Stegostoma tigrinum: one gene and its partner. The protein of the gene in region 2 purifies or fractionates together with the protein of the main gene of each other region. This does not show direct contact. Links are inferred from orthologs where the notes say so. Each region holds a gene or a part of one and is shown on either strand. Other genes may lie near its edges.

Region 1 (12,491 bases), on a different chromosome or scaffold from region 2:
GCTGGAGAAACTCAGCAGGTCTGCCAGTATCTGTGGACAAAAAGCAGAGTTAATATTTTGAGTCCAGAATTTTCTTGAAGCATTAACTCTGCTTTCTGCCACAGATGCTGCCAGACCTGCTGGAAATCTGTTTTCATTTCAGATTTCCAGCATCTGCAGTTCTTTGATTTACTTGTTTGCTGGGGTCCAGTTGTACTCTGATTATTCATTTTTTTTTTCCTGAGAAGTAGTGGCAAGATATGTACATTGAAAGGAAAATGACCTATTGATGGTTTTAGCAGATCATGCTGATGGTTATCATTGTTCAGATGCATGACAACATGCACAGTTTCTGCCCATACTGGTGTGCAGTATGGAGCTCCTAAAAACAAAAGACACAGAGCTGGCCACAGGGTGTGAATATTTGTGCCTAGCTGATGTCACCATCTTTGGTGATTAAGTATCGTAGTTTTTATCTTGTGTACAGTGATAGTGAGATGGTGATAAAGAGTTCCGAATTGCAGTCCCACTTATTAAGTGTAGTTTGGGAAGTCTTCATGCTTCAGATTCTTCTAATAGGAGGAAGCATAACATCCTTCTTTAAACGCCAGTTACTGAAAAGATATGAGGATGTTTTGTCTGAGGATTCCAACAGAGCTACTAGAGATTATAACAGTCGTTTTTTCCCAGATGTATTTTCAGTTTTGATAAGGTTTTTATCTTGAATAGCTGCGTCGAGTTCATCTGCACAAAATTCTTTGGAATATATTCAGTTTCAGAAATGCCCCAATAGAGTCATACAGCGTAGAAACAGACCCTTCCACCTGACTAGTCCACACCGAGCAACTAGGCCCACTTGCCTGCATTTGGCCCATATTCTTCCAAACCTTTCCTATTCATGTACTAATCCAAATGTTTTTTAAATGTTGTAACGTTACTTGCATCAAGCACTTCTCCTGGCAGTTCATTCTGCACACTAACCACTGCTTTTTAAAAAAAGTTGCCTCTCGTGTCCTTTTGAAATCTTTTTCCTCTCACCTTAAAAATATGCCCCTTACTTTTGAATTCCTTCACTCCAGGGAAAAGACATTTGTTGTTCACCTTATCTATGCCTCTCATGATCTTATAAACATCTATAAGGTCAGCACTCAACCTCCAACACTCCAGTTGAAAAAGTCATAGGCTGTCTTTATAACTCAAATCTTCCATTCCCGTCGACATCCTGATAAATCTTTTTTGACCCCTCTCCAATTTCATAATACTGTTCCTATAACAGGGTGACCAGAACTGCGCACAGTACTCCAGAAGAGGCCTCGCCAACATTCTGTACAACCTCAATTTAACATCCCAACTCCTATCCTCAAAAGATCTGAGCAATGAAGGCATGTGTGCTAAATGCTTTCTTAACCACCCCTACCTACATGTGATGCAAATTTCAAAGGAGTCTCTGTTCTACAACACTACCCAGGGCTACATATGAACTGTATAAGACCTGCTCTTGTTTGTTTTACCAAAATGCAAAACCTCACGTTTATTCAAATTAAACTCTATCTGCCTGTCCGACCCTATTGATCAAGATCTCTTTGTGATCTTAGATAACCTTCTTCCCTGTCCACAATACCACCAATTTTGGTGTCATCTACAAACTTAGTAACAATGTCTCCTAAATTCTCATCCAGATCATCTATACATATGACAAATTGGCTTCCTTTGCTTTAGCATTGAAATGTTTTGTCTCAGCCTGTATTTTTCTTTCTTATAAGAGAGGAGGATATCACTGTTGCAAATCCACAATGCCACTTATACACTTACCTTCTTTACGATTCAAATGTTATTATGATGTTGAAATTGGTGCTACTCATATGTAAAGAAACACGAAACAATCAAGGGTTCTTCTTATTCTTAGCTCAGCAATACCGGAAACATCCGTAAATTGTTAAGCCTACCAAGATTGTATATACACACTTCTCCATTTGTTTAATTCCCAAATTCTCTTCACTGAAGTTACAGAATCATCTCTTATCCATACATTGAAATATTAAAGAAGTTACAGGAGGCCAACAATTGTTGTACCTGTGTAACCCTGTACAGGTAGTTTTGCTATAACGCATGTTTCGTTAACGTGAATTGGCTGTAATGCAATTTACGAATAGTGGACATTTTGGATAATGCAAACTTTCTGTTGTATATGTATAATGATTTTCTATAATGATTTTTCTATGGCAATTTTCTACGCAGGAACGCAACTGTCACGATTTAGGAGAACTATCTATACAACAAATTTTGTTCTTCAGTGATTTCAAGCTCAAATGTTGATATGGCTATAATTCAAAATATTTTCAACTTACTTAGATTCTGGTCTCTACCTATGGTCAGCAGATTTCTCCTTTCTGACATCCTTACTGGAAATCCCACTTCTGTGTTCCCATACATCTTGGCTTCCCACTGTCTAGAAATTCTTGGCCTGGCTTGAATATCCTTCTTCTCAGCTCGATGAAGGATCCCGAATGGTTGGTTTTCAAGCCAAGTCCCAATATCATCATCATCAATGTGACACTCCGATATTGATTTTTAACCGTTGTTTTCTCGACATCTTTGCCACTGGAGATGCAGTGCACATTTGTGCCTTTGACCAGAGCATTGCAATCACAAGCTGCACACAATCCTTGATACACAATAATCAGCATGCTCTTCAGATTTATTGAATGCAAGCTCCAGTTTGCTGTTTTGACACTTAACCACCCGCTAAAGGCATTCCAAATTTTCACATTTTTCCAAATGGGTTTTTTTCAACTTTCAAGTTGCATTTACAGTTCACCAGTGCATGCTCTGTTGTATTTTGTTTTAAAAATTCATTCAGTTTTATGAGCATATATTCATGTTATCAAAATAATGAGTATTATTGGTCCAGGAAATAGAATTAACATGGTTTATGACTAGGAATAGTGAAGTTCAGAAAATATGGATGAGAGTTTATAGGCCTCCTAAGTAATTACACAGCTCAACAGAGTAGTGTGATAAGTTACAGTAACTACTTGTTTAAAGACAATGTCATTGTTGAGGCAGACTTTAATGCTTTTAACCTTAGACTGGACTGGGCCAATCAAATTGGCAAAGATGGTCCGGAAGATGCAAGAATACATTTGCAACAGATCCTTGGAGCAATGAGTGGAACCAACTATGGATGGAGTTATTTTAAATATAGCATTGTGCAATGAGGTGAGGGTAATTATTAATGTCATTCTTCAAAGATCCATTGGGAAGTGGTGATCATAATATTCAATTTCTTATTAAGTTTACAAATGACACATCACAAACAAAAGTCTTAAATTTAATATTAAGGGGAGAGTTTGGAGGAAAATATATTTTGAGGGTGTGGTAATAAAATGTGTGAGATAGTTAAAAAAAATTCAAAATAGTCCACAAATCGTATACCATATAAGTCAAAAGTTCAGCAGGAAAGATTTGGCTGTGGCTTACTGAGAAGGTTAAACAATATCAGGTAAAAAGAGGCTGGAGGCTTCTCTTACAAAGTAGTATTAAACCTGAGGACTGGATGTTTTGGAAAATTGCGAAAGACTACCAACAAGTTTATTAAAGATGTATCAGATAAAAGGAATATGAGATCTAGGAATATTAAACCGGTTGTAAGAATCACTTGTAACAAGGTGTAGAGCTGGATGAACACAGCAGGCCAAGCAGCATCAGAAGGAGGAAAGCTGACGTTTCGGGTCTGGGACCCTTCTTCAGAAAGGGGAGAGGGGAAGGGGATTCTGAAATACAGATGGCGGGGGGTGGTGGATGGAGGATGGATACAGGAGAAGATAGGTGGAGAGGAGACTGACAGGTCAAGGAGGCTGGGATGGAGCCAGTAGAGATGAGTGTAGGTGGGGATTGGTCAGTCCAGGGAAGACTGACAAATCAAGGAGGCAGGGATGAGGCTGGTAGGTAGGAGGTGGGGGTTGAGGTGGGAGGAAGGACAGACAGGTTAGGGATACGGGGACGAGCAGTGCTGGTTTTGGGATGCAGTCGGGGAGGGGAAGTTTTGAAGCTTGTGAAGTCCCCATTGATACCATTGGGCTGCAGGGTTCCCAAGCGAAATATGGGTGCTATTTCTGCAACCTGTGGGTGGCATCATTGTGGCACTGGAGGAGGCCCAGGATGGACATGGCATCCAAGGAGTGGGAGGGGGAGTTGAAGTGGTTCACAACTGGGAGGTCCAGTCATTTGTTACAAACCTACGCTCGATTCGCGACAAATGACTGCACCTACGCTCAGTTTGCTACAAACGACTGCACCTGCCAGTAATGAACCACTTCAACTCTCCCTCCCACTCCTTGGATGACATGTCCATCCTACTATCTCTAAGAATCGCTTAGCAGGCCACAGTGAGCTCTGTGGGCTCTCTGTTGAACAAGTCTGCTCTATGACTCTCACTTTTGCAAGTATACAGAATGGAAAGGATGAGCTAAAATAAGTATGAGAACCTTAGAAACAGAATTAAATTCTGGTCCTTTAGAGGCAGAGACAGGAGTGATTATCATGGAGAATGACAACATGGTAGAGACTTGAGTGCAAACCAAACTGACCACTATCTTTTATTGGCTCAATAAATCTGGTGAGATGACCAAAGCAAAGCAACATCTATCACTATCAGTTCCCGAAATCAATTGATTGTTTCTGTCAGCAACTATGTAGCTAAGAACTTCCAACCCTCCCCTATCCTTAGGCAACAGGCATGCTTTGGAATGGTATAAACATTAAATCAATACAGAAGTAAACCATTTTGCACTTTGAATCTGCTCCAACATTCAATGTGATCATGGCTGATCTGTTTGTGCTTCATATTCTACATTCCCATCTTTTCCCTTCCTCCCAAATCCCAATAACCCTCGATTCTACTACCCTGCAAGAATCCAGAATCCAACTACCTGTCTTAAAAAATTTAATAATCCCAGCCTCCACTGCCTTATGAGGTAAATAGTTCCAAAGTCTCTCAATTCTCATGGGGAGAAAAAAGGCACATGCCTGTTCTGAAAGATCAAACCCTAATTTTAAACCATGCGCCCGAGTTCCGGATAGACCCACAAAAAGAAATAATATAAACAAATCCACCTTGTTAAAACTGTTCTCGTACATAACACTAAAGTCAAGTCACCCCTCACTCTTCTAAATTCCATTGGAAATAAGCCTGGCCTGGCTAATATACCCTCTTAAGGCAACCCACTCATTCCAATCAAAGGTGACCAAAACTACAATTGTGTACAGTTCTGGTCACGATACTACCAGAAGGATGTGGATGTTTTGGAGAGGGTACAGTAAAGGTTTGCCAGGATGTTGCCTGCTTTGGGTGATTTTAGCTATGAAGAAAGCTTGGCTAGACTGGGTCTGTTTTCACTGGAACCCAGGAGATTGAGGGGTGACTGAATAGAAGTTTATAAGATTATGAATGGCGTGGATAGAGTGGAAAGTATGAGGCATTTTCCCAGAGTGGAGAGGTCAATTACTAGGGGACACAGATTCAAGGTGCGAGTGGGTAAGTTTAAAAGAGATGTGCAAGGTAATTTTTCACACAAAGGGTGGTAAGTGCCTGGATCATGTTGCCAGAGAGAGTGGTGGAAGCAGACCACCATAATAGCAGTATTCAAGAAGCACCAGGACGAATACATGAATAGGAAGGTAATAGAGGGATACAGATGTTGTAAATGAAGACTGTTTTGGTATGGAAGGGCAAAATATGGCAGCGCAGGCTTGGAAGGCCGAAGGGAGTGTTCCTGTGCTATTTTGTTCTTTGTTCCTTGAACAAACTGTATTCTAGAGTGGTCACATCAATGCTGAGTAAAACTGAAGCATATCATCTTTTTATGTTAAAATTGATGTTAAAATTGCCTTGTAAAAAAGGGTAGCATTCCAGTAATCTTGATAATGTGCTGTATCTGCATACTGGTATTTTTGTGACAAGTGCAGCAGAACACTCAAGTTCTTTTGCTTGGAATTGTGCAGTCATCCTCTATTTAGAACATAGAACATAGAAGTTTTTATTTTTCCTGCTGAAATGAACAACTTCACATTTTCCCATACTTTATTCCTTTTTTTGTCCATTTACTTACCTTATGTCTGCACGTTATTTCACAACATACTTCACTATTTTGGTGACATCAATGACTTTAGATACCATGCTTTTCTCCTCATTAAGTCATCATAAATTGCAACAAGTTTAGACCCTAGCACAGACTCCTGAATGACTCCACTCATCACATCCTGCCAAACAAATAAAGACTCTTTTGTGCATGCTTTTATTTCTACCAACCAGCCTGTCTTGTATCTGTGCTAATCTATTGCCTCCTCTATCATGACCTTGCATGTTTCCCAATAACTTTTGATGTAGCACCTTTATCAAATGTATTCTGGAAAGCCAAGTATAGTATGTCTAAAGGTTTGCTTTTATCCACAGAGCATGATATAATAGATTGATTAAATATGATTGCCCTTTGTTTAAAAAACACATTTCAAATAGAAGGGCATGGAGGCGGTGACAGAGGTGGGCCTAGAGTGGCGAAATTAAGTTTGGGCCAGTTCAGTACTCAGCAGCATTGGGGCATCTGCATCAGTGAGATCTAGTGAGGACTCGTGGTGAGGGCATCGGTGGCCAAAGAGTGGCAAATTTTGTTCTTGTGGGCGGTGAAGGGGACTTATGCCTGGCCACCAGGGCCAGGGCCCAAACAGAGCACTTAACAAGAAGGACTATAAAGTTGAACATTTTCTTTATTTCTTCATTTTTCTCCCATGATATTCTCTGTTTTTGGTTTGTTTTTCTGGGATTTAAGATGGTGCTTAGGAGTGGCAACATCAGTGAACACTGCTTTTCACTATATTTTGTAACAAGACATAGTAATAAATAAATAAAGCTTTTAAAAAATCAAATTATTTTATCTTAACTATACATTGATTTTGCTGCCCAAATAAATAGTTTCAATGTCTAGCTTTTACAGTGATGATAAAAAAAATCTGGCTCTACCAAGTGGCCAAGAAGTAGGCTACCCATTGTTTTTCATTATAACTTATGTGATCTACTGTTTTTAATTATATTTGCTTCACAATCAGATAACCCCTTTATTACTGAAGTTTATATTCTAAAACGTATAAACCACGAAACTTTTTTTTGCTACAGATGGGATAACTGGGGCATTTTCCCGTGTAATTTACAATCTTAGTGATTTAGACGAAGAGAGAGGGTAATATGCGCAGGTTTGGTAATGAAACAAAGCTGGGTGGGAATGCAAGATGCGAGGGAGACACAGGAACTGCTAATTGCTGTGGACAGATTATTAGACAACAAAATAGTTGAATAAACCGAGTATAATGTGAGGTTATGGAAAGCGAGGCAGTGACATTGCGGTAATGTAATTGGAGCACAAATCCAGAACCCTTGGCTCATATTTCCGGGAATGTGATTTGAATTGTATCATGGTAGATGGTAAAATTTGAATTTAGTTGAGGAAAAAGCTCAATCAAAGCACTTCTAACCTCGTTCGTTCCATCCTAATCACCCCCGCCTGGACTGAATCGTCCATCGTTTTATTATAGTTGTCTCATGGTGGGCATGACCTTACCCTTCTGATTGGCTAATATTGATGTCAGTTAGGCCATATCGGCCCGCCCCCTTTTCGGCTGTCGGTTGTGCGCAGCCGCGGCGGAACGGGTGACGGTTTTTCGGACTGTGGTCGAGCTCTTGAGCCTCTGGCACCGAGAGGTCGGACATGTTGCTGTAGTTTCAGGACGTGGAACCGAGCGACTGTCATGAAGGTACTTGCCTCATTGCTGGCTTTAGTGCAGTCATTGTTAAATTTGGGGTGGTCGCTCCTTCCTTGTAACGATGAAGCTGCCGCCCTCTATTTCCCACACCCCCACTGCTCCATCGAAATATGGAATTATTGTCAAATACAGTAATATTTGGTATGAACAGAGACTTGATGCAGTTTTAGAATAGCTTCTCCTCGGTTTGGTGGAATCCAACAGTATGTTCAAGCAGCCTTGCTATTGTTGGAATTGGAGATGTAGGTGTCGGAAAGGCGAGTGGGCGTTTACTGATGGTGGTGATTCTACTTTAATTTTGATATTTGTATCGCAACATAAGTGTGAAAGCGGGGCGTGTTATTTATCAGGGCCAGCCTGCGTTAGGCCTGGGATAGTTTTTCACTCTGGTTTCTTGCAGAGTGTTAGGCAGGGACCAGCCGCAGTCCCTAGGGTTTATGTCAGATCTAAAAAAAGTCAGAAATTGCTGGGAAAGCTCAGCAGGCCTGGCAACATCTGCGCAGAGAAATCAGAGAACATCAGATCTGATATTCTGAGGAAGGGTCACTAGACCTGAAATGTTAACTCTGATTTCTCTTCACAGTTACTGCCAGACCTGCTGAGTTTTTCCAGCAATTTTGTTTTTGCTTGTGATTTACCACATCCGCGATTCTTTCGTTTTTTTTTATTTTTGTCAGATCATCCCGGCCTCCCGCTTATTCTGGCTGTCAAATCCAAAACTAATTTTTGTTATGCCCGATGTCAGCATGTGGACTGGGAGGTATGGAAGTAGAATGCTTGATTTTGGAATTAGTGTGGACGTGTACATTTTTAGGGATTACATAGTTTGGTGAAAGTCTTTAATGGTTTCATCGTTAAATTGTCAGGGTGGAGAAAAACGTGATCTTCATCAGTAATTTGCATAACTCCTTTCAACTGACATTTTGCTATTCTTTGCTTTTATTCTGTCTATCGACATCGAGAGTCCAGGTTACCTCTGTGAGAACGCAGTGCTTGTCTCAGCTGTTTGTTTGCCAACATTCCCTCCATACGTACCGATACCAGTGAATGTTTGTTAGAATGGAGGTGCTTCCTTACATAGTTCAATTTCCCCCTACCCCCCCCCCCCCCAACAGCCTGTTGACATTATTTGCTAATCAGTCTTTTTTTATGTATTCACATGTGACCTGATTTAGTGCCGACTTCTAAATGTCTGTGAGTCAGTGGCTAAGACCCTCATTTTGACCCATGCACCTAAACGTGCGAAGGGCCTTTGATTTTTTTTTCGTCCTCACTGTCCAGTGCTGGAAAATTGGAAAGTGGCAAACGTCACTCCCTTGTTCAAAAAAAGGAATAGGGATAACCCTGAAAATTACTGACCAGTTAGTCTTGTGTCAGTGGTGTGGCAAGTTATTGGAAACAACTCAGAGAGAGGATTTATGATCACTTGGATAGGAACAGTTTGATTTGTGATAGTCAGCACGGATTTGTGAGGGGTAGATCGTGCCTCTCAAACTTTATTGAATTCTTCAAAGAGGTGAACAAACACATGGATGAAGGAGAGCAGTGGATGTGGTATTATGGATTTAAGTAAGGCAATTGATAAGGCTCCCCATGGTAGGTTCATGGAGAAAGCAATGAGGCATGGGATGGGGGAAATATGGCAGAATGGATTCAGAATTGGCTGACTCTCAGAAGACAAAGGGTGGCAGTAGATGGAAAATATTCAACATGGTGCTCAGTTAGGAGTGGTGTACCTCAAGGATCTGGGTCCTCTTCTACTAGTGATTTTTGTAAATGATTGATTTAGATGTAGCAGTGGTAGGGTAGATTAGTAAGTTCACGGACCATACGAGGTGGGTTGAGTTGTGGATACTGCGGAGGGCTGTTCTTGTTTACAAAGGTACATTGATAGGATGTAGAGCTGGGCTGAGAAGTGGCAGATGGAGTTTAGCCCTGAAAAGTGAGAGGCAATTTGTTTTGTAAGGACAAACTTGAAAGCAGAGTACAGGGTTAATGGAAAGATTCTTGGTAGTCTGGAGGAGCAGAGGGATCTTGGGGTTCATGTCCACAATTCCCTGAAAGTTGCCACCAAGGTGGATAGAGTTGTTGAGAATGGTGTGCTAACTTCCATTAATAGAGGGATTGAGTTCAAAAGCTGTGAAGTTATGCTCCAGCTCTACAGAACCCTGGTTCGGTCACAACTGGAGTAGTGTGTCCAGTTTTGGTCACCACCTTATAGTAAAGATGTGAAAGTTTTGGAAAAGGTGCAGAGGAGATTTACCAGGATGTTACCTGGAATGGAGGCAAGGTCTTATTAGGAAAGGTTGAGAGAGCTTGGGCTTTTCTCTTTAGAATGATGAAGTATGAGCGGCGACTTGGTAGAAGTGTTCAAAATGATCAGAGGTATAGATAGTGGTAGCCAGAGATTTTTTTCCTAGGGTGGAGGTAGCTATTATGAGGGGGCATAATTTTTGAAGTGAATGGAGGTAGAAATAGGGTAGATGTCAAAGGTAAGTTCATTACTCAGTGTGGTAGGGGCGTGGAATGTATTGCTGGAAAGGCTAGTGGAGTTGGCCTTATTAGGGGCATTTAAGCAGCTATTAGATAGGCATGTGGATGATAGCATAAGGTTGGGGTAGAGGTCAGTTAGACCTTAGGTTTAGGGTAAAATGTCAGCACAACATCGAGGGCTGAAGAACTGTACAGCACAATACAGGCTGTATGTTCTATGATACTTATGGTACTAGTGGGTAGAAACTTAATGAAATTTGAGCAGGTGGCATTGAAAGAACAGAGATAAATGTCCAAATCAGGATGGTGTGTGACTTGGGAAGAATCTTGGGGGTGTTAGAGCTCTGATGTCCTAGCCGCCCTTTTCTGCATGGGTGATGGAGAGCAAAGGTTTGGGAAGTACTGAAAAAGAAGCCTTGATAAGTTGGTGTAGTGCATTTTATAGATGTAATGTTCTTCAGACTTAGTGCCTTGGTGGTGCATCATAGAATCCCTACAGTGTGAAAAGCCATTCAATCCACCAAGTCAACATCGACCCTCTGAGGGTCATCCCATCCAGACCACCTTCCTACCATGCCCCTGAAACCCTGCATTTCTCATGGTTAATCTACCTAGCCTGCACATCCCTGGATACTATGGGTAACTTTAGTATGGCCAATTCATCTAACCCACAAACCTTTGGACTGTGGGAGGAAGCCAGAGCACTGGAGGAAACCCACACAGACATGGGGAGAATGTGCAAATTCCACACATTCTCCCTACGTCTGAATGGTTTCTTAATGATTTAGTAATTTTCCCATATCGACATTAACTTTCTAATATTATCAGAAAATATTACATCTGTGCCATATAGTTTATACCAATCAAGAAAAGGCTGAAAATACACCTGGACAAAGCTGCTTCAGTATTTAGATATACATGATAATAGCTAATAGCTATGTGTATTGCAGGGCCTGCACGTTAGTAGCCATATGTAGCTTTAATGTTTGTCCTTTTTTAAGAATTACTAAAAATTTGTAAGTCACTGATACATATTTAATGAATTCCCTACTGTGTAAACAGGGTAGAATCCATGGTATTGTGGTAGTGTAACAGTTATTGGAAAATCACTTACACTTATACAATTTGTAAAATTTGAACTCCTTTTTAAATTTCTCTGCTTTTTGAGTCAAAATGCTATCTGTCTATGTTCAGGTTTGTTATAATATGGATTATCTTTAACTCATTCAGTTAGTTCAGAGAAATTCTCACCACATCACGTCCACTTAAGACATTGCCCTTTTTTAAAAGCAATTTTTAAGAGTTTTTCCAGAAATCCAAATCTGATTCTTGTGGCAGCTGAGGTCATGATGAACAGTGTAAGGCAATTATGACCATTCAGGGATTCACTTGAGTGCAACATATTATCATAAACAATGTTTAAAAACATGTAATTACTTGAACAGATCTGCTTATGTGCGTCATTAAACAAGTATATGATATTATGTTTGATTACAGAATCACAAAAAGATATAGCATGAGTGGATGTCATTCAGCCTATGCCTACATAGGCTTGGAAGTGCTTGCCTTCTCCCACAACTTGCAGATGGTTCAAATTGAAGTATTTGATACTCTTGTGAAAGCAATTATTGAATCTGCTCCCATCACCCTTCTGAGCAACACATTCTACATTGTAAATCACAGTGTAAAAACGGTTTCCTCACAACACTGTCTAGTTGTAAAACTCGTTACCTTGTTGCCGCTAGAATTGGTTTCTCCTTTATTTGTCAAAACTCTGATTTATGAATATCTCAATTGGATAATCCTAAAATTTCTCTGCTTAAAGGAGGACAACTCCAGCTTCTTTAGTCTTTCCATGTAACTGAAGCATTGCATCCTGGGTTCCATTCTACCAAATTTCCTCTGTGATCCGTCTGAGACTTTGACATTGTTTCTAAAGTGGACATAATAATCCAGCTGGTATCTAACTAGTGATTCATAAATGTTTAGTATAACTTCCTTGTTTTGCAATGTCCCATGCTGTTCAGTAAGCTAATATACTGTATGCTTTTTTAACAGCCTTCTAACCTCAACCTGCCTGTAATTATTGGAATGCAATCAGCCAGGTGGAACCTGTGAGTTTCCTAAATGAACTTTTTAATCTGGTCTAATCAGAGTCCTGATAGATACAAACAGGAGTGTCAGAGGTTCTGTTCACTCGAGCC
Region 2 (12,882 bases):
CCTAGTAAATCTCGTCTGCATTCTCTCCAGTGCAATCACATCCCTCCTATAGTGAGGATTTCATAGCTGTACTGTGGCTTAACCAATGTTTTATACAGTTCCAGCATAATCTCCCAGTTCTTAAGCGCTATACTTTGCCTAATAAAGGTGTGTCCCATATGCCTTCTTAGTCACAACATAAACAGAAGTTGCTGGAAAAGCTCAGCTGGTCTGGCAGCATCTGTTAAAAGAAATTCAGAATTATAGTTACAGGTCTGTTGACACTTCCTCAGAACTGCTTCTTAGTCACTTTATCTAGCTGTTCCACTGATTTAACAGACTGGTGTACATGCACACCAAGGTCCCTCTGATCCTCAGTGCTTCTCAGGGACTGACCATTCATAATTTATTCCCTTGCCTTGTTTGTCCTGCCCAAATGCATCACCTCACATTTCATAGATTCATTTATCAATTGAGTTCTATTTACCACTGAATTTCGTTCACCCCATCTGACTGACCTGTCTATATCATCCTGTAATTTATGGCTACCCTCCTAGCTATTTACCACCCTACTAATTTTCATATAACCCACAAACTTACTGATTAATCACCCTCCGTTCAAGCTTACATCATTAGTGACAGGAATGAGCAATTTCAGTAATTTTTTTTATTCTTTAATGAGATGTAGTCATTTCTGGGTGGACTAGCATTCATTGCCCATCCCTAATTGAGTTGAGAGTTAGCCACTTTGGCTGTGGGTCTGGTGTCACATGCAAACCAGACCAGATGAGGATGGCAGATTTCTTCCCTAAAGGGCATTAGTGAACCAGATGGTTTTTCCTGAAAATCACCAATGGTTTCATGACCATCATTAAACTCTTAATTCTAGATTATTATTGAATTCAAATTCCAGCATCTACCACGTTGGGATTTGAACCCTGTTCCCAGAAGGTTTCCTGGGTCTCTGGATTAATAGCCTTGCGATACTATCACAGGGCTGTCAATCAGGAGAGATTGAAGTAATTAGGTTCGTTCTCCTTGGAGAGAAGAAAGCTGAGAGAAGATCTGATCGAGGTTTTCAAAATCGTGAATGGACTGGACGGAGTTGTTAGGGAGAGTTGCTGCTACTCAGAAGAGGAACAGGAATGAGAAAGCATAGATTCAAAGTGATGTGCAAATGAAGCAAGGGTTATATGAGAAAAGACTTTCTCACACAGCAAGTAGTTAGGGTCTGGAATGCATGACCTGGAAATGTGGTGGAGACAGCTTCAACTGAAGCATTCGAGAGGGGCTTCGGATGATTATTTGAATAGAAATGGTGTTGCAATCTGGGGAAGAGGTGGAAGATTGGCAGTAGGTAATAGGACCTGTGCAGGCACGATGGGTTGAATGGCCTCTTATTTCCCACTCAAAGAATTGGCCCTTAAATCACCTTTAGCAGCAGCCATTGTTCATCTTAAGTTCCCGGACATGATTAATACTGTAATGATGCGCAGGCACAAACCTTTTCTCATTTAGTCTGTGCAAGTACTGACGGTCACAGAATCCTCAAATTCTTTTCCTGTCCCTTTAAGTGGCTTGATGGCCTCTGGAAAGATTGAAACAGCAAGAATTGTATTTTTAATTCATTTCTGCGGTGTAGCTAGGCCAGCATTTATTGACCATTAAAAGTAAAAGTCAACCACATTGCTGTGTTTCTGCAGTCACGTATAGATCAGACCAAGTAGAAAAGAGGGACCCAGGGGTTCAGGTACATAATTCTTTGAAGTTTGCATCAGATATAGACAGGGTGGTCAAAAAGGTGTTTAGCATGCAAGATAACCAGGTGTACAGCTGGATGAACACAGCAGGCCAAGCAGCATCTTAGGAGCAGGAAAGCTGATGTTTCGGGCCTAGTGCATGCTTGCCTTCATTGTTCAGTCCTCTGAAAATAGGTTTTGGGAAGTCATGTTGAGGTTGTACAGCTTCTTCTGGAACACTGTGTCCAGTTCTGGTCGCCTAGTTATAGGAAGAATATTATTAAGCTAGAGAGGGCTCAAAAGAGATCTTCCAAAATATTGCCAGGTATGAGTTATAAAGAAAGGCTGGATAGCCTGGGCCCTAGGAGGTTGGCGGCACGGTGGCTCAGTGGTGAGCACTGCTGCCTCACAGTACCAGGGACCTGGGTTCAATTCCACCATCAAATGACTGTCTGTGTGGAGTTTGCACATACTCCCTGTGTCTGCATGGGTGTCCTTCTGGCTTCCTCCCACAGTTCAAAGATGCGCAGGGTAGGTGGATTGGCTATGCTGTAGTGTCCAGGGATGTTTGGGTTAAGTGGGTAGACATGGGAAAATGCAGAGGTAGGGGAATGGGTCTGGATGGGAAGCTGTTAAGTGGTGGTAGGGGAGTGGCCTGTTTCCACACAGTAGGGATTCTACGATTTGAGAAGTGACCTTCTAGAAGTTTATAAAAAAAAAGTAAGTTGTCCAGATAAGGTTAATGTTAGTTGTCTTTTCCCAGGATGTGGAATTTCAAGACAAAGGGACACATTTTTAAGGTGAGAGGAGAGAGATTTAAAAGAGACATGAGGGGCAAATGTTTAATGCAGAGGATGGTTTATGTGTGGGATGAATTTCTGAGTAAGTGATGGATGAGGGTTCAATTACAATGTTTAAAAGACATTTGGATAAGTATGTGCATAGGAAATATTGGGAGGGATATGGGCCAGGAGCAGACATGCAGGACTAGTTTAGTTTGGTATTATGCTCTGCATGGACTGGTTGAACCAATGGGTCTGTTTGCATGCCGTATGACTCTAAAAAGTGCATGTAAGGACAGCAGATTTTCTTTCCTAAAGGACAAGTAATGAAGCTGATTGATTCTTTTCAATATAGTCACTAATAGGCTTTTAATTACAGATTTTTATTGAATTCACATTTCACCATCTGCCATGGTGGGGTTTGAACCTATACCCTGAGAAAATTAGCTTCTGATTTTAGCTTAATAGTCGAGAGACATTGACATTGCTGACTGCCCTCTGTGCAGTCAAAAGACCCCTGTCACTTCTCCCTTCCATTCTCTTTCCAATTGTATAATGCACACGGTAACACAGTCTCTGCTGCAGTCCCAGAGATCCGCTTCACTAAAAGGATCTATTCAAAAACTGCCAAACAGAAATCGGTTCCTTTGGGGATGACCTTGCTTGTTTTCTATCACATATGTTCTCCATGTCAAGCAGAAATACAGTCAATTCAGAATTGCTGTTGACTTCAGTAGGCTTTTTTAAAAAAAAATGGTGGGCTGTGCTAATTTCTGGCTGGCCAGTCTGTAATTACTATTGAGAAGGTGATAGTGAGCTACTTGCTCCAATCGTTGCAGTATTTGTTCTGCCGAGACGGAGTTCCAGGGTTTAGAAGGAATGGCAGTATATTTCCTAGTCAGGATTATGAGTGACTTAGAGGGGAAATTGCAGATGATGGTCCTCCCAGACAGTAGTGAACATGAGTTTGGAAGGTGTTGGCTGAAGAGCCTTGATGAATATCTGCAATGCATCTTGTCAATTATGCACACTGCTGCTATGAACATCTGTGATGGAGGGAATGGATGTGTGTGCATGTAGTGCCAATCAAGCAGGCTGCTTTGTCCTGGATCAAGCTTCTTAAGTGTTTTTGGAGCTGCACTAAGTCAGGCAACTGGAAAGTATTCCTCCACGCTCCTGACTTGTGCCTGATTGATTGTTTCAAAGGGAAGTTAAAGAGTCAACCACATTGCTACAGGCCTGCACCTGAACTGGTTCCTGTATAAAGGCAACACAGTGTCTAGTTTCAGTTCTGCATGCTCATCGTTCATTCAAGTTTACTCAAGACAGATCCATTCCCTACTCTCTGAAATTGGCCTTACTCCAGTGAAGTATTTTACCCTTGATTTTGTCTTGATCCTCTCTATGCTTAATCAAACTCTTATTATACTGTGACCTCAATGTCCTAAACATACTGCCTACTGACATCTGATCCAATTGAGTCACTTTATTCCCTGGAAACAGATGTTTCAGAGTCTGAATCATAACTGTCATGAAAATTCCACAAACACACGAATGGAACCCTTCCCTGTCTGTGCACTAATAATATTCCAGAATTGGAGAGCCTACGCTGAACACATTGAATCACTAAAGAGGTCCCAGCAGTGTCACCTGCACAAGATCCTCCAAATCCAAGAACAGGAAAGGATGACTAACATCAATACCTACTCCTGCCGTTGAGAGGCCAGTCTTTCAAAACCAGCATCACTGGGCAGTACATGTTACTCGTGAGCCTGACCCCAGATTCCAAATGAGACTGCTCAATTCAAGGCCTCCCTGAAGAGATCAAACATCCCCTGATGACTCATGGATACCCTAGCTTGTGAACAACCAAAAGGGAGAAGGTTTGCTCTGGAAGATGCCTAAGACATTGGGAGACTCCATTGGAAAGGTGCAGAGCTGAAGATGAGCTGTCAGAGGGAACGGCATAAACGCATAATCACCCATCAACCCAACCTTCTAAATGCAGCAGAAGCTGCAGATCAAGCATCAGTCATTTCAGTCATTCCAAAAGCCATCGAACCCTGGCTGGCAACAAGCTAGAAAAACATACAAACCAGGGGCAGGAGCAGGCCATGTGGCCCTTGGAGCCATGTTCATGCCTTTTCCCCATGTCTCTTGTTGCCTTTAAAATCTAAAAAATATCAAAACTGAAAGAACTGCAGATGTTGTAAATCAGAGACAAAAATAGAAATTGCTGGAAAAGCTCAGCAGGTGTGGAGAGAAATCAGATTTAACATTTCAGGTCGAGTGACCCTTCCACAGGAACCCCTCTGAGGAAGGGTCAATCCTTTCCGAAATGTTAACTCTGCTGTCTGTCTACAGATGCTGCCAGACCTGCTGAGCTTTTCCAGCAGTTTCTATTTTTGCCTCTTAAAAAAACAAACTTTTTTGAATATATTAATTTCAAATCGCCCTCATACCTGAGGGGTTGTCAGAGGATAAGGAGACGGAGAAGATCCCAGGCTATATTAGGACAGAGTGGACTACAGAAAACCTCTAAGAGCACTCAACATGTGGCTTGACTGGGAGTTAATACTATCATATGATCCCTGCCCAACCTGCTGCATTCCATTACACAGACTCTTGACATGATCTGATATCTCTTTAAGATTGTTAATACTCTGAAAGCACTTCACAACCACTTCTTTTTACAACACAGAATGGCATGGGTTTGATCATTTACTTACCAGCCAGTTAGCTGAGAATTCAGGGCAGGGATGGGAAGCAGTTTGCCTGTCAAGTGTTTCTTCCTCTGAGATCCCTACACTCCTCTTTGCAGCTTATTCATTAAGATGTCGTCTCCATGAGTCTCATTGTTAACAGCGGACCGTCCTTAGGGGAGGCCCTTTCAGCAGCAAGACTGTTTTAAATTCCGTGTGCAACTACCCTCCCCCGTTCCCCTCAACCATGCTCCAGTCTCTTACTCCCTCCTGCTCTGCTCTGCAGCTCATTGTTTGAAGGAGCTTATCCAGCTGTCTCCTCTCCCAAAATAACCCCTGCCATCATGACCCGACAACACCAATAGGAGCTGGACTGGTGGTTGGCAGTGTGTGGATGGTTGAGACCATAGTGGGAGGGGGATGCAGGGAGCAAAGGAGGCCACCATCCATTGACTGGCCAGCCTGCCAAGAGAAAGTTGACTGGTTGGGGGAGTGTGGGGCTGCAGACTAAGTAGGAGGATCAGTGACTGCAAATCCCGTTCAGGAATTCGAAGACCCTTATCTGTGCTGTGGCAGAGATTCAGAATTAGCTGAAGCCAACGAGGTGTTACGTGTCTACGTTTAAGTGACATTACAGAAGGATCTCTGCTGTCTTAGACAAGCAATGTCTGGGAGGGGGTGAGAGTGGATGGTGGAGGGGGATGGTGGGACAGCCGACAGAATTAGAAAGATTGAAACTGCCTTGTCATTTGATACGAAGCAGCTGAACAGAAGTGTGGAAGAGCTAATTGGACTTGGCTCATACACTGCTCCTACGAGTTCGAGCAAGAAAGCGGTCTTTGCATTTATATAGCACCTATCACTATTTTGGAAAGTCTGAATGTGCTTTACAATGATTTAAGTACTCCTGAAGTGCAGTCACTGTTGAAACGTAAGGAATATTGTGATCAGTTTGGACAGAGCAATATTGTAATGGACAGAGCATTTGTGCAGCTTTTTTGGAATTTGAGGGATAACTATTGGCTAGGACACTGGGGACAACTATCCTGCTTTTCTTTAGAGCAGTGCCATCTGCGAGAGCAAGCCTTATGTGCAGCACTCTTTCTGTACTGTGGTAGAAATGTTACAAGCGGGCATACAGCATAGGAGCAGAAATGGATCATTCCACACCTTGAACCTGCTTATCATTCAATAAGATCGTGATTGAACTGTTCGTTTCAAATTCCTCCTTCCCATCCACTCCTTTGATTCCACTGCCAAACACAAAGCTACTCATCTCGGTCTTAAAAATATTAATTGACCCCAAGTTCTAAAGTCACACAACCCTCCAAGAAAAGAAATTCTCCTTGACTCTGAGCTAAAAAGGTGACTCCTAATTTTTAATTAGAACCCCCTAGTTCTGGACTGGCCAGCAAGAGGAAACATCTTTTCCATGTTCACCTGGTAATAACCATTTAGGATCCGATACACCTCAATCAAGTCACTCCTAATTCTTCGGAACGCCAGTGGGAATAAAGCTAGCCTCTGCAACCTTTTATCATAAGACAACCTGCGCATTCTGGGTATCAGACTGGTATACCGCCTCTGACCCTCCAGTGCCACAGCTTGGATTTATGTGCCACAGGCATTTAGCACTGTGTTGATTGTGGAATGTTGCTGTGCAGAAATTGGACTAGCATGTTTCCTGCAACAATGATTGCATATCATTGGCCAGAAGGTGTTTTCGGATGCACTGAGGTTATGTTAATGTGCTATACAAATACAAAGCTTTTTCTCCTAGTTCCACCACGTCTGACACACCTTACCCAAGTCTCACTGCTGTTCTGCACTGTGGATGGTTTGTATCTCCAACCCTCATCTCATTAAATACTGGCAGTGAGGTACCTCTCAGGGAGAGACCCTGCATTTAGATGAAATGTTCCCTCTGCATGTGGTGCAATCCGAGTGACAGTAACGAGTGATTGGAGAATGACATTGAGTTCAGTTCTCTCTATATATAAAGACATTTATCAGCAAAGTGCTGATCCCTCTCATGACGTTAGTTCCCTGGAAATGTCGTTTGGCATTCTGTGGCATTGCTCACTTACTAAAGATTTCTTTAATGTTGCAGCCTCGATATCCAGTCGGGCAACAGCAGTTTCTTTGGGGGAGAACTCAGCCTGTGCAGGGACCAAAATGTGTGCTACCTATAGGATCACACTGCAGTAAGAGATGCATCACATTTCATGCTGGTTAAAAAGCCCAATTGAACGGGAGGACATAAGAAATAGCCACAGAGATAGGTCAAGGCCTCAAGCCTCTTTCCCCATTCAACAAGATCACAGCTGATCTGCCCCGGCCTCAACTACTCTTTTGTGCCATCTCCTCATATCCCTCACTTCCCTGATGTTTCAAGAATCAGTCTACCTCCTCATCAAATACTTTACTTGATCAATTCTCCACCGTTCATTAGGATAGGGAATTTCAGGCATTCACTAGCCTCTGGGAGATAACATGAGGCCATATTTTAAATGCAGCTTTACATGCAAGGATAATAAAATGTGAGGCTGGATGAACACAGCAGGCCAAGCAGCATCTCAGGAGCACAAAAGCTGACGTTTCGGGCCTAGACCCTTCATCAGAGAGGGGGATGGGGGGAGGGAACTGGAATAAATAGGGAGAGAGGGGGAGGCGGACCGAAGATGGAGAGTAAAGAAGATAGGTGGAGAGGGTGTAGGTGGGGAGGTAGGGAGGGGATAGGTCAGTCCAGGGAAGACGGACAGGTCAAAGAGGTGGGATGAGGTTAGTAGGTAGCTGGGGGTGCGGCTTGGGGTGGGAGGAAGGGATGGGTGAGAGGAAGAACCGGTTACATCAGTTGCCATTCCCTTGTTTGGTCACTTCAGAAGTCAGTTGAAGCCACCATGTCACCATAGGATCAGGAGTCACATGTAGGCCGGAGGGTTCCTTGCCTAAAGGGCATTAATGAACCAGATAGGTTTTTACTGCAATGATAGCTTTGTAGACACCATTACTGAGATTATATTTCAATTCAAGCTTAATTTGAATTGGGTTTACCAGTTGAGTGTGGGGTTTGAACCAATTTATCCCAGAGTATTTGACCAGGCTTTTGATTATCACTGGAACATCGCTGCACAATCAAGAATGACAAAAGTCCCAATTTTAAAAAGCAGGAGAGCTTTCCTTGGTGTCCTGGCCAATATTTATCCCTCAATCAACATTGCGGCCCCAACTTTCCCACATTACAAGAGTGACTACTCACAAATACTGCGAGCAGCCGCAAAACACCTTGGGATTTACTGAGGTCATGAAAGGCACTACAGAAATGCAGGTAGTTGTTGTATCAATGTGGGCTAAATCTCACTACACTGCAATCTCCACATTGTATACTGAGGGAATGGTCAAACTCTGACAGGCTTCAGATCCATGGCTAAAAGAGAATCACAGCTTCCCATCCCTCCTGAGAACTCCTTTGGAGGTGTTTTCGCATCAGTGAAGATTTGGTTTGACCTCTCCCTGTCCCTGAGATCAGTCTTTCTTTGAATTTCAGCCATTGGCTGCTGTTTGAGGCCAAAATATGATATTCTACAGCTAGAGTTTTGTGCTTCTGTGAGAAGATAATTCAAATCAGGAGACCCACGTCATTCAGCTAACAACAGTCTTAGAGGCCGTGCCCAATGTCACCAGACTATCAGAGTTCTGATAGTGGCAACTCTGCGCATTCACACTGAAGAGCTCAGTGGGGAGAGAGAGAGAGAGAGAGAGAGAGAGAGAGAGAGAGAGAGAGAGAGACAAAGAGCAGCAGGGTCAGGGGGCAGGTCACCAATCAGCACAATCAGGGTGAATGGCAAGTCTGTCAGCTCGACCTGCCCTCCAAGCAAGCATTTGAGGGTGTGTCTGCTGGGATTGTAGGAGTTTTGAAGATCACACTAAAAGGACATTAGTATCATTCTCTCCTTGTCGAACTGAGTCTCTCCTCGACTCTGTCTGTAATGGTGTATTCTCTTTCTAACTAACCCTATTGTGTTAACTCTGTTCCTCTGAGTGCCTGTTGCTTGTATTGCATTTTCTTCAGTGCCTTTGTGCCTCTTTTGCTTTTTGCCAGTTTCAATCTTTCAGTCTTATCCTCTGTCTGAGTCTCTCAGTCCCTCTCACTCACATTCTCCTCTTGCATCAGTATCTTGTTTTGTCTCATATTCTGTATTGCTGGCTCTTTCTTTCTGTCCACTGTGTTTGTGTCCATCTCTCCTTTTGTCTCTATATGTGGGTGTATCTGTGTGCATGTATCTGTGGGTGACTGTGTCTGTGTGTATATATCTGTCCGTGTGCATTTATCTGTGCATGTGTCTCTGTGCCTGTGTGTGGTGTGAGTCTGTGTCAGTGTGCATTTGTCTTCCTCCCCGGTTACACTGACTCAATTCCACTCTAGCTGTCTGACAATCTATCTGTCTCAAACACTTTGATTTTATTCTTTCGGTCTTCCTGCATTCCTGTTTTTACTGTATCTGTGTTTCTATCTCTGTCATTGGATCCCATTCTCTCATTTACCCTCATCATTCTGTATCTGAATCATTAAATTCCTGCATTGTCTTAGAACCTCCCTCGTAATCGCTTTCAAGTTAGTTATCTTGTTTAGTGTTTATCTTCTACTCTGTGTACGTATCTTATTCATTCTCCCCCTCACTCTGTCCCCCTCTGTCCCAATGTTCCAGCTTCATGCTTCCCACAAACTCCCTGGTGTCCCTTTATTCCTGAGCTTGTTGTGGATGGTGCTACTGATTCTGATGTTCCAGGCCCCAATGCTGGAAAGTGCCTGCTCAATGCACAGCATGAGTGAGGATGCAATCATTGCAAAGGTGCAGGAGAAAATTCTGAGGAGCCTGGGGCTGACTGAACCCCCAGAGAACTGCAATGTAACCAGCCAGGAGCTGCATAATCCGTTCAAAAACCGCAGACTGACACGGCGCATCACCCGCTGGATTGGACATCACAAACCCAAAACGGACAACGATAAATCGGAGGTCATCTCATTCCCCATAACCAGTAAGCTTTCTTTTGGCTTTCATAAAACAAATACGTAAAAATAGTATCATTTTGTATGTCAGGATGATAAATCCTGGCCACACTGTTTCACAATGTCAGCCATACCTAAGGTACTTTTCAACCAATTAAGTACTTTTTGAAGTGTCGTAATACATGCAGTACAACATCCGATTTCTACAGGAAGCTCCCACAGACAGCAGTGTAACGATGACCTGATAGCCAATTTGTAGTGATCATAATAGAACGGAGGCAGTGATATAATGTAATGTCACCAGACATTAGTAAATCAGAACCCCAAACTAAAGGGGTCAAATCCCATAGCAGATGGTGAAATATGAATTCAGTTGAGAGAAGATAGCCTAATGAAAACTATGTACCGTTTAAAAACCCATCAACCGCTTCCCTTTAGTGAACGAAATCTATTGTCCTTACTCCGTCTGGTCTCTATCTGACTCCACATCCACAGCAACATGATTGACTCTCATATGCCTTCTGGGTAATAATTTCCAGGTGTTGTCCATTTCTGTTTAAGTACACATTTTCCCAGGAGACTGGTGTGAACTGCTCCCTGCTCTTCTTGGAAACAGATGCTGTGAAATCCTTTATGGCCTCCACTTAGAAAGTGGATAAGCTTGACATATCATCTGAAAGAAAGTGCCTCCAAACAGTGTGGCAGTCCCTCAGTGCTCCAATGCCAGACTAGATTCTCAGTCTCTAAACGGGATCTTAAGACCACCACTGCTGGAGTGAGAAGTGAGTGGGTTACCCACTGACCTGGGAGCCCATACGCACATAAACAGCACGAGATGTGGTTAAGATAATAGGATTAAGCAGGTGGCACAAAATTTGGGTGTGTGGTTGGGTGGTTTATTTTGAAGACATAATCAAATGAGAACGGGAACTGTCAAACAATGTTTGATATTTGCAATAAACAAGCATGGAAGCAAAACAAGTGAATGCAAATCATTCGGTTTTACACAAGTTTTGGCTATTTTATAACTCATTCCGCTCAATCTTCCCTTCCCCCCCCATACTTTTATTTTCAGACATACCGTGTGATTTACAGTATGAAGGATTCGTGGGCAATTACAGTTACGTCTTTCAGCCATCCCTGCACTCCCGTCGCAGCCAGGTGACCTCTGCTGAGTTCTGGTTTTACGCCGGGGTCCAGTTACCCCCAGGTGCTGACCCCCCCACTAAACTGTACTTCCTCACTGAACCTGGCAGCTTTGCCCAGGCAGCAGAGAGCATGGCAGTTGAAGGACAGTGGGTAATCTTTCATATCTCCCAGTCCTTCCTCTCATATATCTCGCACAAGATACTTTTCCTTCAGGTCAAGTGTGCCAATTGCCAGTGTGTGAGGGACCAAGTGAATGTGCCTTTCATCCTGTCCACAGCGAAGAACTTGGGTCCTTCTCGATCTAGACGCTCAACAGTCCCTTGGTCCCCCGCATATGTCAGTCTCCTTCAGAGGCCACCATCTCCTGAACTTATTCATGACGATTGCCATCGTTCTGCCGTTAACATCTCCTTTGAAGAATTGGGATGGGGCAACTGGATTGTTCAACCCAGTGTCTTCACCTTCTACTACTGCAATGGGACCTGCTCCAACTCCAACCGGCTCACCTCCAGCCTCGGCCTCAAGGTTTGCTGCACCTCAGTCCCAGGGACCATGAAGCCCCTGAGAGTGAGGACAACGTCCGACAGTGGCTACACTTTTAAATACGAGACTATCCCAAACATTATCACCGAAGAATGTGCCTGCATTTAGACTTTGCTTCCTCACCCTCAGCATAATGATAGGGTGGCCTTGGACTCTCAAGGAACTGAAAATTAATCAGAATCCAAAAGACAAATCCAAGGGACAGTAATGAAATAAATAAAGAAGCTGTATCAGTGCATTCATTGTTTATTAATTATGAAAATATTTGAGTTTTGGAAAGAAAGGAATATTTGATGGATAGTTGGTAAACATTTAATCAAATAGCCAACAGTCCATTCACTTTCCATTCTGAAACTAGACATCAGGCCATTCAGCCTATCTAGTCTGCTTTGCCAGTCAATTGGGCCAGGCTGACCAGATCATCCTCAACTCCACTTTACCGCCTTTACCCTATAACCTTAGATTCCATTGCTGTTTGAAAATATGTCTATCTCAGCCTTGACTGTTCTCACTGACGTAGCCTCTAAAGCTCTCTGAGGTATAAAAATGAATCCACAGATTCACTAGCTTCTAAGGGGAGAAATTCTTCTTCATTTCTGTCTTAAATAGGTGAATCCATACACTCAGATTTTGCCCTTTGGTCCTAGAACCTCCTACAAGGGGAAGCAACATCCTCATATTTATCCTGTCAAGTTCTCTAAGAATCTTAGCTGTTTCAATAAGTACCCCTCTCATTCTTCTAAGATCCATTGAATACAGACTGAACCTACTTAACCTGTCCTCATAAGACAGTTGATCCATAACTACCTCCAATGCCTGTATTTTTTCCTCAAATGAAGGGCTCAAAGCTGTTAACAGTTTTCCAGCTAGAGTCTGACTGGTGGCTTTTATAGCTTTAGCACAGTCTCCCTACTTTTATAGAGTCATAGTGACGTACAGCATGCAAACAGCCCCTTTGATCCAACTTGTCCATGCTG

The links.
Region 1: the proteins of obsl1a (region 2) and calcium/calmodulin-dependent protein kinase kinase 2-like purify together in Homo sapiens (affinity purification with mass spectrometry; 4 studies listed by BioGRID and IntAct, with this or other methods). This does not show direct contact. The link is inferred for Stegostoma tigrinum from reciprocal best matches to the Homo sapiens genes OBSL1 and CAMKK2.

Annotation. Positions count from the first base shown.
Region 1 is NC_081379.1:24,722,632-24,735,122, reverse strand, and holds the start of calcium/calmodulin-dependent protein kinase kinase 2-like, read left to right. Parts: upstream 1-7,658; 5' UTR 7,659-7,785; intron 7,786-12,345; 5' UTR 12,346-12,401; intron 12,402-12,491. UniProt on the Homo sapiens protein: Calcium/calmodulin-dependent protein kinase belonging to a proposed calcium-triggered signaling cascade involved in a number of cellular processes. Isoform 1, isoform 2 and isoform 3 phosphorylate CAMK1 and CAMK4. Isoform 3 phosphorylates CAMK1D.
Region 2 is NC_081360.1:102,223,477-102,236,358, reverse strand, and holds the start of obsl1a (obscurin-like protein 1a), read right to left. Parts: upstream 5,551-12,882; 5' UTR 5,230-5,550; intron 1,568-5,229; exon of another isoform or gene 1,412-1,567; intron 1-1,411. Other genes in the region: inha (inhibin alpha chain), read left to right, coding at 9,903-10,242, 11,289-12,013. UniProt on the Homo sapiens protein: Core component of the 3M complex, a complex required to regulate microtubule dynamics and genome integrity. It is unclear how the 3M complex regulates microtubules, it could act by controlling the level of a microtubule stabilizer.